Linked DNA regions of Saccharomyces cerevisiae S288C. The protein of the gene in region 2 interacts with the protein of the main gene of each other region in a biochemical or structural test. Each region holds a gene or a part of one and is shown on either strand. Other genes may lie near its edges.

Region 1 (6,499 bases), on a different chromosome or scaffold from region 2:
CGAGTGTATAAGATACATTTGTATTGGTGTACATTATGAAATCTATGTAATCTACCTAAGCGTAAAAAGGAGATCTTGCCTTCGATAACTAGTACGGTGGAAGAATTACATTTAATAACGAACGGGACAATATGATATCATAGAAGAAAAAAAAATGAGTCCCGATCACTATTTTACTTCATATCTGCAGCTCGGACATGTTTGAAGATTATAATGCTTGTGATGGTCATTCGAAATAGTGCCTCTTCTAAATGTTTGAATAATTTTCCATAGCTAAAGGTTAAGTTCATCCATTAGTTTCTTTTTTCTTCTTTGCACTAACCAATGCTCCATATCTGCCAGAGTTGGTACATGGATTTCTTGTGTCTGCCTTGACATTTCTTCTTCATCTTCATTCACAGGCACATTATAATGTGCTTTCAAAATGGATGTCCAGTTAGCCTCAAATTCGGTTAAGGCGGCTGTGACTTTGCCATGGTAATAAAAATCATTTCTATCCTTCGGTATGCATTTGGTGTTTATAGAACCCCCATCATTCTGCCTTTGAGACTGCTTGAGCCATTCTTTTACTTCAGGCAATTCCAGGGCTCTTCCAAAATATCTCTTACCATTTATCAGCTTTCCTGAATTCATCAGCACATGACTGTCTTCTAACCTTTTCCTCTTGGTTTTTTTTTCCATAAGTGTATGGTCAATGTGCCACTGCCATCTCTTCCATTCTTTGAAAAGATTATTAAGTTCGTCGTTAAGTTCCGCAATCTGCATTTCATTTAAAGACGGATCATATATTCTTGTGCTTTTTTGTTTTATCTCTTTACTTACTTGTCGCTTCCATTCGTTGGCCTCTTTTATGGATTTTACCTTAGACACGTTCCTGGGCCTCTGGTAACGTGAATAATCCTTGTATCCACCTGCCGACTCTGCTTGCTGCTCTTGAAATCGTACCAGAACTGAGTTGGCCTTATCTACATTTCTACTCATTTTGAATGCACAGGTATCTGATTACTGATGTGGTGCGCCTTGCGATATAACGGTGTGTCACTTTTATTTGCTCTTTCATGCATCCTGAAATTATTTCACCGCACTACGCAAAGAGAACGGAGAAAAAGGTATAATAGGGCAAATGATCATTGACATCGTGATCGTAAGCCAAAAAAAAATACAATAGGCTCCCTAAATAAGTAGAGTAAAAGCTCTTGAGATGAAGGAGAATGACATGAATAATGGCGTAGATAAATGGGTAAATGAGGAAGATGGTCGAAATGATCATCATAACAACAATAATAACTTGATGAAGAAGGCCATGATGAACAATGAGCAAATTGATAGAACTCAGGATATCGACAACGCCAAAGAAATGTTGAGGAAAATATCAAGTGAAAGCAGCTCGCGCAGAAGCTCCCTGTTGAATAAAGATTCATCTCTCGTGAACGGCAATGCAAACAGTGGCGGTGGTACGAGCATTAACGGAACAAGAGGAAGTTCTAAGAGTAGTAATACACACTTTCAGTATGCCTCCACGGCGTATGGTGTAAGAATGTTGAGTAAAGATATATCTAATACCAAAGTGGAACTGGATGTGGAAAATTTGATGATTGTTACGAAACTCAACGATGTCTCACTGTATTTCTTAACAAGAGAGTTGGTAGAATGGGTTTTGGTACATTTTCCACGTGTGACTGTTTATGTGGATTCCGAATTGAAAAACAGCAAAAAATTTGCCGCTGGCGAGTTATGTGAAGATAGTAAATGTAGAGAATCAAGGATCAAGTATTGGACAAAGGATTTCATCAGGGAACATGATGTTTTCTTCGATTTGGTAGTGACTTTGGGTGGCGACGGTACTGTTCTTTTTGTAAGTTCCATTTTTCAGAGACATGTACCACCCGTTATGTCGTTTTCATTAGGGTCTCTAGGATTTTTAACAAATTTTAAGTTTGAACATTTCAGGGAGGATTTACCTCGGATTATGAATCATAAAATCAAGACAAATTTACGGTTGAGGTTGGAGTGCACAATTTATCGTAGACACCGCCCTGAAGTAGACCCAAACACGGGGAAGAAAATATGTGTGGTGGAAAAACTAAGCACACACCACATTTTGAACGAAGTGACCATCGATCGTGGTCCAAGTCCTTTTCTATCCATGTTAGAATTGTATGGTGACGGCTCATTAATGACCGTTGCGCAGGCGGACGGACTGATTGCTGCTACTCCGACTGGGTCCACGGCCTATTCTTTGAGTGCAGGTGGGTCATTGGTATGCCCAACCGTCAATGCAATCGCTTTAACACCCATTTGTCCACATGCATTGAGTTTCAGACCCATCATCTTACCAGAAAGTATAAATTTAAAAGTGAAAGTCTCGATGAAGTCAAGGGCTCCAGCATGGGCGGCTTTTGATGGGAAAGATAGAATTGAATTGCAAAAAGGTGATTTTATAACCATATGCGCCAGCCCATATGCTTTTCCAACCGTGGAAGCCTCGCCCGATGAGTTTATTAACAGTATCAGTCGACAACTAAACTGGAATGTGAGGGAACAACAAAAGTCCTTTACGCATATTTTGTCCCAAAAGAACCAAGAAAAATATGCACATGAGGCGAACAAAGTCAGAAATCAAGCAGAACCTTTAGAGGTAATAAGAGATAAATACTCTCTGGAAGCAGACGCTACTAAGGAAAACAACAACGGAAGCGATGATGAGAGCGACGATGAGAGTGTAAACTGCGAAGCTTGCAAATTAAAGCCTTCGAGCGTCCCAAAACCTTCTCAAGCAAGGTTTTCAGTATAATGTTACATGCGTACACGCGTTTGTACAGAAAAAAAAGAAAAATTTGAAATATAAATAACGTTCTTAATACTAACATAACTATTAAAAAAAATAAATAGGGACCTAGACTTCAGGTTGTCTAACTCCTTCCTTTTCGGTTAGAGCGGATGTGGGAGGAGGGCGTGAATGTAAGCGTGACATAACTAATTACATGATATCGACAAAGGAAAAGGGGCCTGTTTACTCACAGGCTTTTTTCAAGTAGGTAATTAAGTCGTTTCTGTCTTTTTCCTTCTTCAACCCACCAAAGGCCATCTTGGTACCAGGAATATATTTCTTTGGGTTAGTCAAGTACTCTGACATGTTATTTTCGTCCCACAACACGTTTTTCTTGATATTGGCATCTGTGTACGAATACCCTTCAGCTTGACCAGAGTGTCTGCCAAAGATACCATGCAAGTTTGGACCAACCTTATGTGGGCCACCCTTTTCCACGGTGTGGCATTGTAGACATCTAGTCTTGAAAAGTGTAGCACCTTTCTTAGCAGAACCGGCCTTGAATTCAGTCATTATTAATTTAGTGTGTGTATTTGTGTTTGTGTGTCTATAGAAGTATAGTAATTTATGCTGCAAAGGTCCTAATGTATAAGGAAAGAATATTTAGAGAAAAGAAGAAAACAAGAGTTTTATATACATACAGAGCACATGCATGCCATATGATCATGTGTCGTCGCACACATATATATATGCCTGTATGTGTCAGCACTAAAGTTGCCTGGCCATCCACGCTATATATACACGCCTGGCGGATCTGCTCGAGGATTGCCTACGCGTGGGCTTGATCCACCAACCAACGCTCGCCAAATGAACTGGCGCTTTGGTCTTCTGCCATCGTCCGTAAACCCCGGCCAAAGAGACCGGAAAGATCGGTGAAAACATCTTGATCTTGCTCCCGGGAATTTTAGATTCAGGTAGGAAATTGATTACATCAATACTGTTACCCTGAATCATATTCGACGATGTCGTCTCACACGGAAATATAATTCATTTCTTGGTTTTCCAAAAAAATTTTCATTTTTTTTCACTTTTTTGTTTCGTCCTCCTTTTTTTTTTTTTTTTTTTATTTTTTTTCCTGTGTTCACCTTTTTTTTTTTCAGTTGACATCTTTCTGCATTCTTTTCTGTGTTTTTTTTTTTTTTTTTCGTTTTTCCATTGTTCGTTCGTTGCCTGTTTTTTCGCCCTATTGTTCTCGAGCCTAAAAATTTTTTCCTTTCCTGCTTTCCTTTCTTCGTTCAAAGTTTCCTATTCCATTGTTCTCTTTGGTAAACTCATTGTTGTCGGAACTCAGATATATTCAGGTCAATTTACTGTACTTCAATTGACTTTTTTCTTGAAATTTCAACTTGCCTTTTCAACTTGTTCTTCTTTTTTAATCTTATTCTACACTTTAGTTCCCTTACCTTGTTCCTAATTATTGTCTAGCAAAAAGAAAACATACACCTATTTCATTCACACACTAAAACATGTCTGACGAAGAACACACCTTTGAAAATGCTGACGCTGGTGCCTCCGCCACCTACCCAATGCAATGTTCTGCCTTGAGAAAGAATGGTTTCGTTGTCATCAAAGGTAGACCATGTAAGATTGTCGACATGTCCACTTCCAAGACCGGTAAGCACGGTCACGCCAAGGTCCATTTGGTTACCCTTGATATCTTCACTGGTAAGAAGTTGGAAGATTTGTCTCCATCCACTCACAACTTGGAAGTTCCATTTGTCAAGAGAAGCGAATACCAATTGTTGGATATTGATGATGGCTACTTGTCCTTGATGACCATGGACGGTGAAACCAAAGACGATGTCAAGGCACCAGAAGGTGAATTGGGTGACAGCATGCAAGCTGCTTTCGATGAAGGTAAGGATTTGATGGTCACTATCATTTCTGCCATGGGTGAAGAAGCTGCCATCTCCTTCAAGGAAGCTCCAAGATCTGATTAGATATTTTAGATTTCTATAGCTTACAAAATACGCGATGTTTTTTTGATCTAGAAATCTTATTTATACATTTTATATAATATTATAATAATCATAATCATAATTATTCATCCTAACTAACTTCGTTCTGTTTCAGCTACGAAGTTGCCTTCATTATCGCTACGTTCGTGTTAATTGGTGTTTGATACCATAGTCACTTATGACGACGTGCAGAACTTTTTTTTTTGACGGATATTTTCCCCTCAATATGCCGAGGATGATTACTTTATAATTTGCCTTCTTTCGGTTCCTTCTTCTTTTTAATTTAGCTGACGGGAACATGTGTATATACCCCAGAAGAATTTAAACAGAAATTTTTTTGAGCATTTTACGAAAATATTAAAAACTAGGGCTACAGATATCAGAGAAAAAATTACTTATATGATGACAATAACTTAATATCACAGTCACTATCGTTCTCGCCTTTATATGCGCAGTGACAGCATTCGACTTTTCCTTGGAAGGGACCCGATCAACGAAACTTCAAAAAGAGTAGAAGTCAAAATATTTTTTGCACGACGAGGGTGACAGACCGTGCTATGTCCACAAATGAGGCCCTGCTTTCCCAAGATAAATTGCGTAAACATATAATTGTTACAAATCCAAGGCTCTGTGATTTCTTCACCAAGTGTAGTTGTGATGTATGATGTGTAGGATAAGTAATGACCGGTAAATCAAGCTGGTAAAAAGTCCTAATAACAAGCCCGAATCTGGAATAATGGTAATATTCCCATGCCAGGTGGACAGTGTTGTCCTTAAACAAACTCAAGAGATTAAAGGCAACTTGGCCGAGTGGTTAAGGCGAAAGATTAGAAATCTTTTGGGCTTTGCCCGCGCAGGTTCGAGTCCTGCAGTTGTCGTTATTTTTTATTTCCCTTTCTTTTCGTACATACACAATGCACAGTCTTCAAAGTAAAATACCAACGTATGTATCAAGATCAATTTTTTTTCTTTTTTTTTTTTTTTTACCGTAAATGTACGTATTCTACCTTATATCTAAAAATATTCTTCAATCTTGTTGTTTTGATTTGTGGATTTGCAACAGCTTAGAAAATCTGTTTTTATCCAAACTGTTCCATCTATAAACTTTTAACCCACCATCCACTTGATGAACAGATATGTCCATTGGTAGGATACCTTGTAGCCCAGCTAAAATTTCACTTGCTTCTTTTGTACCGATAGGATTATTACTATCTTGTAAACTATCTACGATTAGCGAGCTTAGATATGTCTCTGTATAAGGCTGGCCCCTGGTCAGCGAAAAAAGAATATCAAATACCTGAGTCATTTTCATCGCTAGAAACTGCTGGTAACGTTTTTGCCTTTGAGAAAGCAATGCGGCCGAACGTCTCTCTCTTTCACGCAGTCTGTCCATAAGGTTTGCTTGCGAATCAGGCATCTTCTCTTTGTACATGAAATTTTCCTTACTATTCGCCAAATATCTTGAGTTATTCAAGGCATTAGCATTAGAGCTCTTCGTTTGCACTTTACTGCTCAAGACTGTTTTAGAATTAGAGCTGGACCTTCTTTTATTTATTTTGAAAGCGGGTACATCAGTCATAATCTCATCCTTGGAAGCTATCACTTGTTGGTACCACGACTCTGCCCTTTCCACGAATGCCAAAGTCCTAGACTTATTGGTCAACGTTGTTAGATTGTCTCTTTTGGGTAGATTCATGGTCAGCTCCCCTCT
Region 2 (7,727 bases):
CTGCCTCTTCCAACTAGTATGTACAATAAAATGCAAGTGTATCGACATTTTTGAATGATCATGTTGAGTTAAAAATAGAAGTGGCTCCTAATATGACCGTTGATGCGATGTAGTCTGCACTTTTTACAAAGTAAATGGCACTGAGAGACGTTTTTGCCAAACAAGTACTAAATAAATTGTAGAACGCAGGACAGGGAGGATTTTCACAATTCATAACTAAAATAGTATGCTATAAGAGTCACATTTCACAGATATTTCTTCCGTGATAGTTTAATGGTCAGAATGGGCGCTTGTCGCGTGCCAGATCGGGGTTCAATTCCCCGTCGCGGAGATTTTTTTCTTTTTCTGCTCTTCTTAGAAGAGGTTAATACCACTGATACGGCTAATTTCAAGTTCATTCTTGATGACCTCTAAACAAGGGCTGGGAATACTCAAAAGACCAGAGGCACTAGCTGCAAACATGACAATTCTTTGAAAGTAAACTTTTTAGCTAAATACTGACTAAATATTTTTATACATATAAAACTATTAATCCTAACATATATTAGTAGAAAAGTCATTCATCTGGAAAGTTAGAGCTCAAGCCTAAATAAAAAAGCCAACATATGACTGATCAATACGATTGGAGTGTTATATACACGAGAATCTGTAAATATGTATAAATTGTCTTTTATGTGTTCCTTCAGAATTCTGAGATTGTACTTATTCGTCCCAGCCGTCCTTCCATCTTTTTTCCCAGAAATTACAGTCAAATTTGGGCTTCCTCAATTTCTTATTGACTTTATTGTGGGCTTCACACATCCACCTCCCAAGTTCTTCTCTTGACTCAACTTGTGGTGCATTTTCTCTGATATATTTTTCAAAGTCTTTAGCACACCAGTTGCAAGGATAAATATGTGAGAAGATATTCAAGAACTGTTTCATTTCACCCTTCTGTTGGTCTGTAGGTTGAGCAGGATAGCTGGCAGCTACAGAGTGTAACAGCGTCCATGAAGATCTACCTAGTTGCTCTACGTCAGGAGGGTCAACCTTCCTGTATGTTCTTGAGCCAGGCATCAACTCTGAAGCTTCGCCAGTGAGAGCCCCCGTACCTGCTAGTTTACCGTTAGATGAGAGGTTCTTCAGGCCATTAGATATCTTCCCGGTCACGTACTGAAAGTCAAGTAGGGTGTTACATGATCGGCAACTATTATAGAGAATTTGTTAATAAAAAATCACAAGCTTGATTGGATCAGTAGATCCTGAATTGCTTTGCGTAATCCAACATACGGTTTGCCATCTTCGTCATATATTATTTTCCTCCCACTTAAGCCTTCTTGTGGTGGATTATCCGTCATTTTATCTATTGCTTTCATGAAGCTTTGTATTCATTGAAAGTTGAGTGTTTTTGGCTTTTCCCCATCTTTAGATTTAGATTATGACTAAACCTGATAGAATAGTTGCCGTAATAAAAGCGGCCCAAGAAAAATAACTAGTATATAATTATAAAGCAGAAATAAAGGAAGTTATGTACAGGAGTATACTGCATATACACATATTATGTGAAAACTAGCTTATCTGATATGATATGATGCGTGAATAAAAAGCTTTCTTCTTTTTTTTCTAATTTTCCTTCCTTAATCAAGAGGTTGAGATGACAACGTACTTGTAGCATCCATTCTTAATTTTTTTGTAAAATCTTTTGTCTTTAATGGTCTTATCTTCAAGGAAGAAGTATCATTAACATCGATTGTACCACTATCAATGAGCTGCCTCTTCTGTTTTATGTATTCCTTTGCTGCATCTAAGGCCGCTTCTCTGCAAAGCTCTTTCAGGTCCGACCCAGAAAATCCTTTGGTATTGTCTGCAATCAGTTGCAAGTCGAATTCGTCTTCGTCTAGTTTAGTGTCTTTTAATAAAACACTTAATATTTTGTAACGTTGATCAGAACCAGGCAATGAAACAAGAAACCTTTTTGGTAACCTCCTCAAAAACGCATCATCTATGTCATTTATCCGATTAGTAGCACCGATAATCATAACCCTTCCATTATTCAATAAGCCATCCCATAAAGTCATGAATTCAGCTTTTAAGGTTGCCGTAACTTCATGATCTGTAGAAGACCGTTCTCTAAGGAATGAATCAATTTCGTCAATGAATATTATACAAGGTTGTAACTTGTTCGCCAATGAAAACATTGCATCGACTATTTTGTTAGATTCACCATACCATTTATCCATTATAGATGACATTCTTATTGAGATAAAATTAGCACCACTTTCCTTGGCTAGGGCCTTCGCCAACATGGTTTTACCACATCCTGGTGGCCCATATAGCAAGACACCGCTAGGTGCTTGAAGTAAAGGGCTATTAGAATATACTTCTGGCATCATCAAGGGATATATGACACTTTCATGTAGATCTGAAATAAGCGGGTCTAAGCCACCAATATCCTGGAATGTAATATTTATTTCATCTGGCGTAACGATAGAAGATAATATAGTCCTTTCATATGCATCTAATGTTACTTCTGCCAATGCCGGTGATCTTTTCACCAGCTTTTCCCATTGCAAGGACTGTTTGGCCTTTGATTCCCTTGATTTACCTGATAACGGTCCTGATTCAACATCGTTGAGTAGCCGACTGACCAGGTAGTATAATGATATGCCAGTCCCAACTAGGACGGAAAGATCAGTAATCGTTTTTAAATCAAATTTGCGAGACATTGGGCTTCCTTTCTTTTGAATCCTTATCTCTTTTCGTTCTTGCTTCTTCCTTTTTTGAAAACGTGTCAAGACGCTTCTATAATATAACGATTTTTAGGAAAGCTAAACTATCGATTTCCGCCTGTCCAGTAAATAGAGATTATATGGTGTAACCTGTTGTGTTGGACAGATATAAGTCATTAAAAAAATAATAACTTCCTTGACCAATTGTATTGAAATACTTCAGCCAAGAATTTATATTGACTTTACTACCTCTTTTTCAAGAGGTAAGAAAAAGAACACTCCGATACGGGGAGTCGAACCCCGGTCTCCACGGTGAAAGCGTGATGTGATAGCCGTTACACTATATCGGATGGTAATCTGTGAAAATTTCTGGCTTCAAATAGCTAAATAGCAATGTTTTTAAAGAGCTGATGCATTTATTAGAATAAAATTTCAATGTCATCCAGTGGCTGGTATTTATATTACTTGTATTTTATCATATACGGTGTAAAAAAGATACCATGAAGATTGAGAATGAGAAATATGTGAATGTTGAGATAATTGTTGGGATTCCATTGTTGATAAAGGCTATAATATTAGGTATACAGAATATACTAGAAGTTCTCCTCGAGGATATAGGAATCCTCAAAATGGAATCTATATTTCTACATACTAATATTACGATTATTCCTCATTCCGTTTTATATGTTTATATTCATTGATCCTATTACATTATCAATCCTTGCGTTTCAGCTTCCTCTAACTTCGATGACAGCTTCTCATAACTTATGTCATCATCTTAACACCGTATATGATAATATATTGATAATATAACTATTAGTTGATAGACGATAGTGGATTTTTATTCCAACATACCACCCATAATGTAATAGATCTAATGAATCCATTTGTTTGTTAATAGTTTGAATGTTTTTATCGGAAGAGGTTTGGTCATTACGTCTGCAATATTCTTTTTGGTTTCGATATAGCATACGTGCAGATGATTTCCTGATACTTCATCTCTCAATCTCATTGCTTTAGTACCAAAAAATCTGTTCCTAAATTTCTCTTCATTATTGGATATAATTATACTGATTGTAGATTTACTGTCGGTTAGTAATCCTTTGGTAATTGGTTTCTTGTCAAGTTCTTGTATCAGGTAACTTAGATTATTTAATAATGGGACAGATTCACTTATCGCGTGTATTTCTGCTTCCGTAGTTGAAGTACATGTTAATGAAGCCTTGGTGGACTTTCCTCCAATTACCTTTCCATTAAGTAAATATATGTTGCCAATTTGTGATTTATAATACGGTTGGTTGCCATACGAGGCATCGCTTATAACAACTAATTTATTTGTTGGCTTAACAGGTTTGCTTTTGTGCCATATTAATTGCTTATCTCTCGTATTCCATATGAACTGTATCAATTCATATGTCATATCTAACACTTGCTTGGACGGAAATAGTATATGTTGTGCAAGTGTGTTGATGTAGTATAATAGGTCAAATCTAAATTTATATCCAACATATGATGCTAGACCTATCAGCTTTTGCATTTCATGTACCTTCATTTTGTAATCATCTTCTTCTAGCTCTAGTTCTTGCTGGTCTATATATAGACCTGGTTGACCTGGAGCGCTAAGTTTCCTTCCTTTTGGGTTCAAAGGTACGTTTAGTTTGGGTATTTTTTCAGTTAATGAGTTTTCCATACCCAATTTCATGTATTTACCTCTTTGGTATTTGATTTCCAAGCCAAGAATGTCATATTGAATTTCCTCATCACTTTCGCCTAGATTTATAATCTTGGTGTCGTATTGCATCTTAAGCTTGTCTATAATTCTTTTGTTTGAATTTAGATTTTTGCTAAACAATACCATATCATCTACGAATAAACAAATTGTCACTTGACTGTTTTTAAATACGCATGACCATCCACGAACTTCTTCCATACCACATTGTTGTATCAGGTATGATTTGATAGTTTCGTACCAGTTCGCTCCACTTTGTTTCAATCCATAAAGTGATTTCTTCAAACGTATCAACTTATCATTCATTCCTAAATGTGGTGGAGGTCTTATGTATAATTCTTCTTTGATGTCTGCATACAAATATGCCGAAGATATGTCTAATTGTGTAATATAGTAGTTATTGTCTAATGCAAGTGACAGGGATGTCATTAATGCATAGTGATGTACGGTATTGGATTGCATGCCTGAGTCGTAAGTGTCAGGATGCTGAATATCACCTCTTGCAACAAATCTAGCTTTATGAGTACCGTCACGTTTCTTGTTGAAGATAAACATTGAGTTTATTACTCTTTTAGGGTCTATTTCTTTTCTGTCATAATATTCGTCAGTGTCCCAAGTTTTCATCTTCAACAGTTGATTGACTTCTTTGTGGTATGCCTCGATATATTTTTCTTTTTCTTTAATATCTTTATTATAGGTGATTGCCTCATCGTATCGTAAGGTTGTCCGTATTGGTTTGATTGATTTTACTGCTTTTACAGCTGCAATCAGGTGAATTCGTTTCTTCGATCTCGGAGGTTCTAAACTACGCATATTCTTAGTATTCCATGTGTCTCGTGATACCTTAATTTCAGTTTCATTATCTTCTAATGATCTTTTCTTACTGTTGATAGTAGTATAGGCATTAGAGTCACCAATACCACCCAAACTGGAATTAGTTTGACGAGAATTGATCGGTGGGAGTTCTTTAAATGGGTCAGGGAATTCGGTAGGAGATTCTGGAGGTAGATCAGGGAGTGGGAGATCAGCGATGATAGATTCCTCGGTATTCTGTTCAGAAACAGTAGTTGGCGTTTTGATAGGAACAATATTGTGCGATGAATTATTTTCCGGTGGAGAAGCATCGATTGAAGGTGAACGGTGTATAATCCTTTTCTCAGTCTCTTGGTCACTTATCTGCGGAACAGTTTTGTTGTTGGTACCACCCGTACTGGATATTGGTACGTTTGTATGATTAGTCTCATTTTCACTGTACGAGTCTGAGTGTCTGAAATCTTTAGATTTACTGGCGTGCGACGACTCATGTGTGTTAGATTGGGACATGGGAGCAAGTAAAGGAACATTTAATTTATGCATACCACCCGAACCGGTACTCTCGATATTGGAAATTTGGGGGGTGCTAGATCTCTTCTTTGATGGAAGAATATTAGATTCAGATATGTTGGGGTCAACTTCTCTGGGTGCGCGAATATTGGTTTTAGAAACACGTTTCGAATCTTCAGTATGAGTTGACGGAGGTGTGGAATCGGTTGGACTCACAGCTTTTGAAAGGACATTTCTCGGTTGCTCAGGATGTAGTTCAATGTCGGATTGGAAGTCATGGTCAGATTCTATGTTAAGATCATTGGATTCTTGGATCTCATTTGACGCAATGAACGAATGATATGAAGCAGTTAAACGGTTTAAGTCTTCATCGAAAGTGAGTGCGTCGTAATTGAATTGATCTAATCTGGATTCCTTGCCCTGAAGAATAACATAGTTAGTTGTATCTACTGTCTTCTTTAAGGATGGAAGATAGATGATATATCCATAAGAGTTTCGAGACGGATGTAGAGCGTAGCCTGGGATGCCACGAGGATGTATTTTGGAGTTAGGGTTGTGATCATTGACGATAACAGGTTGACCGAAAGGTAACAAAGTACTGATATCAAGTCCTGCCAAGCCAGCATGTTGTCTTGCAGATTTTTTGCTTTTAGGTGAAGCTAGTGAATTTCTCACAATAGTAGAAAATTCGATTGCAGAGAACCATAAATGGTTCGGTAAACCACTACATTGCAGTTGAGTACGGCAGTCATCTAATAAGGTACGGTTTAGCCGTTCAGCGACTCCATGTGCTCGGGAATCCGCTGTGGTTGTATAGCATGGAGTTATACCATTTTTTTCAAGGAATTTATGGAGAGTTCTGTTAGTATACTCAGAACCACGGTCCATTTGTATAACCAAGACACTGGCCTGAAATTGGTTTTTAATGAAAGCTAGTATCGTGGTAAATACATCGAGGATAGAGTCCTCGCGACGGTCGTGCAATGGATAAACCCAACGGAATTTTGTTGTCTCATCAGTAAATGAGATGAAATAGGATGGTGCACTTTTTGGTAGGTTGTGAACTGGACCAAATATGTCAGTATGTAGGTATTGAAAGGGTTCGTATGAATTTTGGTATTTTAGTCGTGAACCTTTGATATGTCTGTGTTTGGTGCTTTTGCCGATTAAACAATCAGGACATTGATAGTCAATAGCACTAGACCAGTCGACATCTGATTCGTTAAAATACGTGATGGTGTTATTTTTAAGTGAGTATCGAATTGTCTGTGCATTGGCATGCGCAAGCATTCGATGAATGAAAGGATAAGGATATTTGCGTGTACTTTCACTTGTATGGACATTATTGATGGTGGGTACGGAGATATTTGATGGAAGCAAGTACCTTTTAGATACCCAGTAAAAGTCTCCATATTGTACGATAGGTGCAAGTACAGTGCCGTCAGATCGTTCTAAGACGTTTTTGGTAAAGCATGCTGTGATATCTACTGCAGCCAATTCATTCAAACTGAGTAAGTCATAGGCTATGTTAGGAGTGTGCAATACCTTTATTGATGTTTTGGTGTTGTCCTGGAAGTGAAATTGTAGGTCACCAATAGCGTTAATTGGTATATTTCTTTTTTGAGCATCAACTACGTTTATGTCAGGATTAGATGATGCTGAGTGTATGTGATGAGCAGATCTTATAAGGGTTCGTGATGCTCCTGAATCGAGAAGGAGGTGTCCAGGGAGTTCATCATCAGAATGATTAGTGTGATTTACCGTAGATTCAGTAAGTTCCTGGCCTAAGGTGAAGGTCGTGCTTATTGTTCAATTGAATCGGTTCAGTAGTTGATTTACTGATGGAATCGTTGTCCGTGCTGGGAGAGTTATTAGATGTGGATACATTGTGAGCCCTGGCTGTTTTCGATTTCGAATTATTTGTTTTTTGAGGATTCCGAGCTATAACTTTGGGTTTGGTTGTATTC

Evidence for each region. Proteins that work in one complex are often made in the same cells at the same time.
Region 1: of the proteins of ERV1 (region 2) and CYC1, one has a biochemical effect on the other in vitro, tested with the Saccharomyces cerevisiae proteins (2 studies listed by BioGRID, with this or other methods).

The regions. Positions count from the first base shown.
Region 1 is NC_001142.9:523,179-529,677, reverse strand, and holds CYC1 (cytochrome c), read right to left. Parts: upstream 3,344-6,499; coding exon 3,014-3,343; downstream 1-3,013. Other genes in the region: ISY1 (Isy1p), read right to left, coding at 274-981; UTR1 (NADH/NAD(+) kinase), read left to right, coding at 1,202-2,794; ANB1 (translation elongation factor eIF-5A), read left to right, coding at 4,297-4,770; TAH11 (Tah11p), read right to left, coding at 5,816-6,499.
Region 2 is NC_001139.9:537,181-544,907, reverse strand, and holds ERV1 (flavin-linked sulfhydryl oxidase), read right to left. Parts: upstream 1,356-7,727; coding exon 1,270-1,355; intron 1,187-1,269; coding exon 703-1,186; downstream 1-702. Other genes in the region: protein-degrading AAA family ATPase MSP1, read right to left, coding at 1,617-2,705; YGR027W-A (gag protein), read right to left, coding at 7,529-7,727. UniProt on the Saccharomyces cerevisiae protein: FAD-dependent sulfhydryl oxidase that catalyzes disulfide bond formation. Required for the import and folding of small cysteine-containing proteins in the mitochondrial intermembrane space (IMS).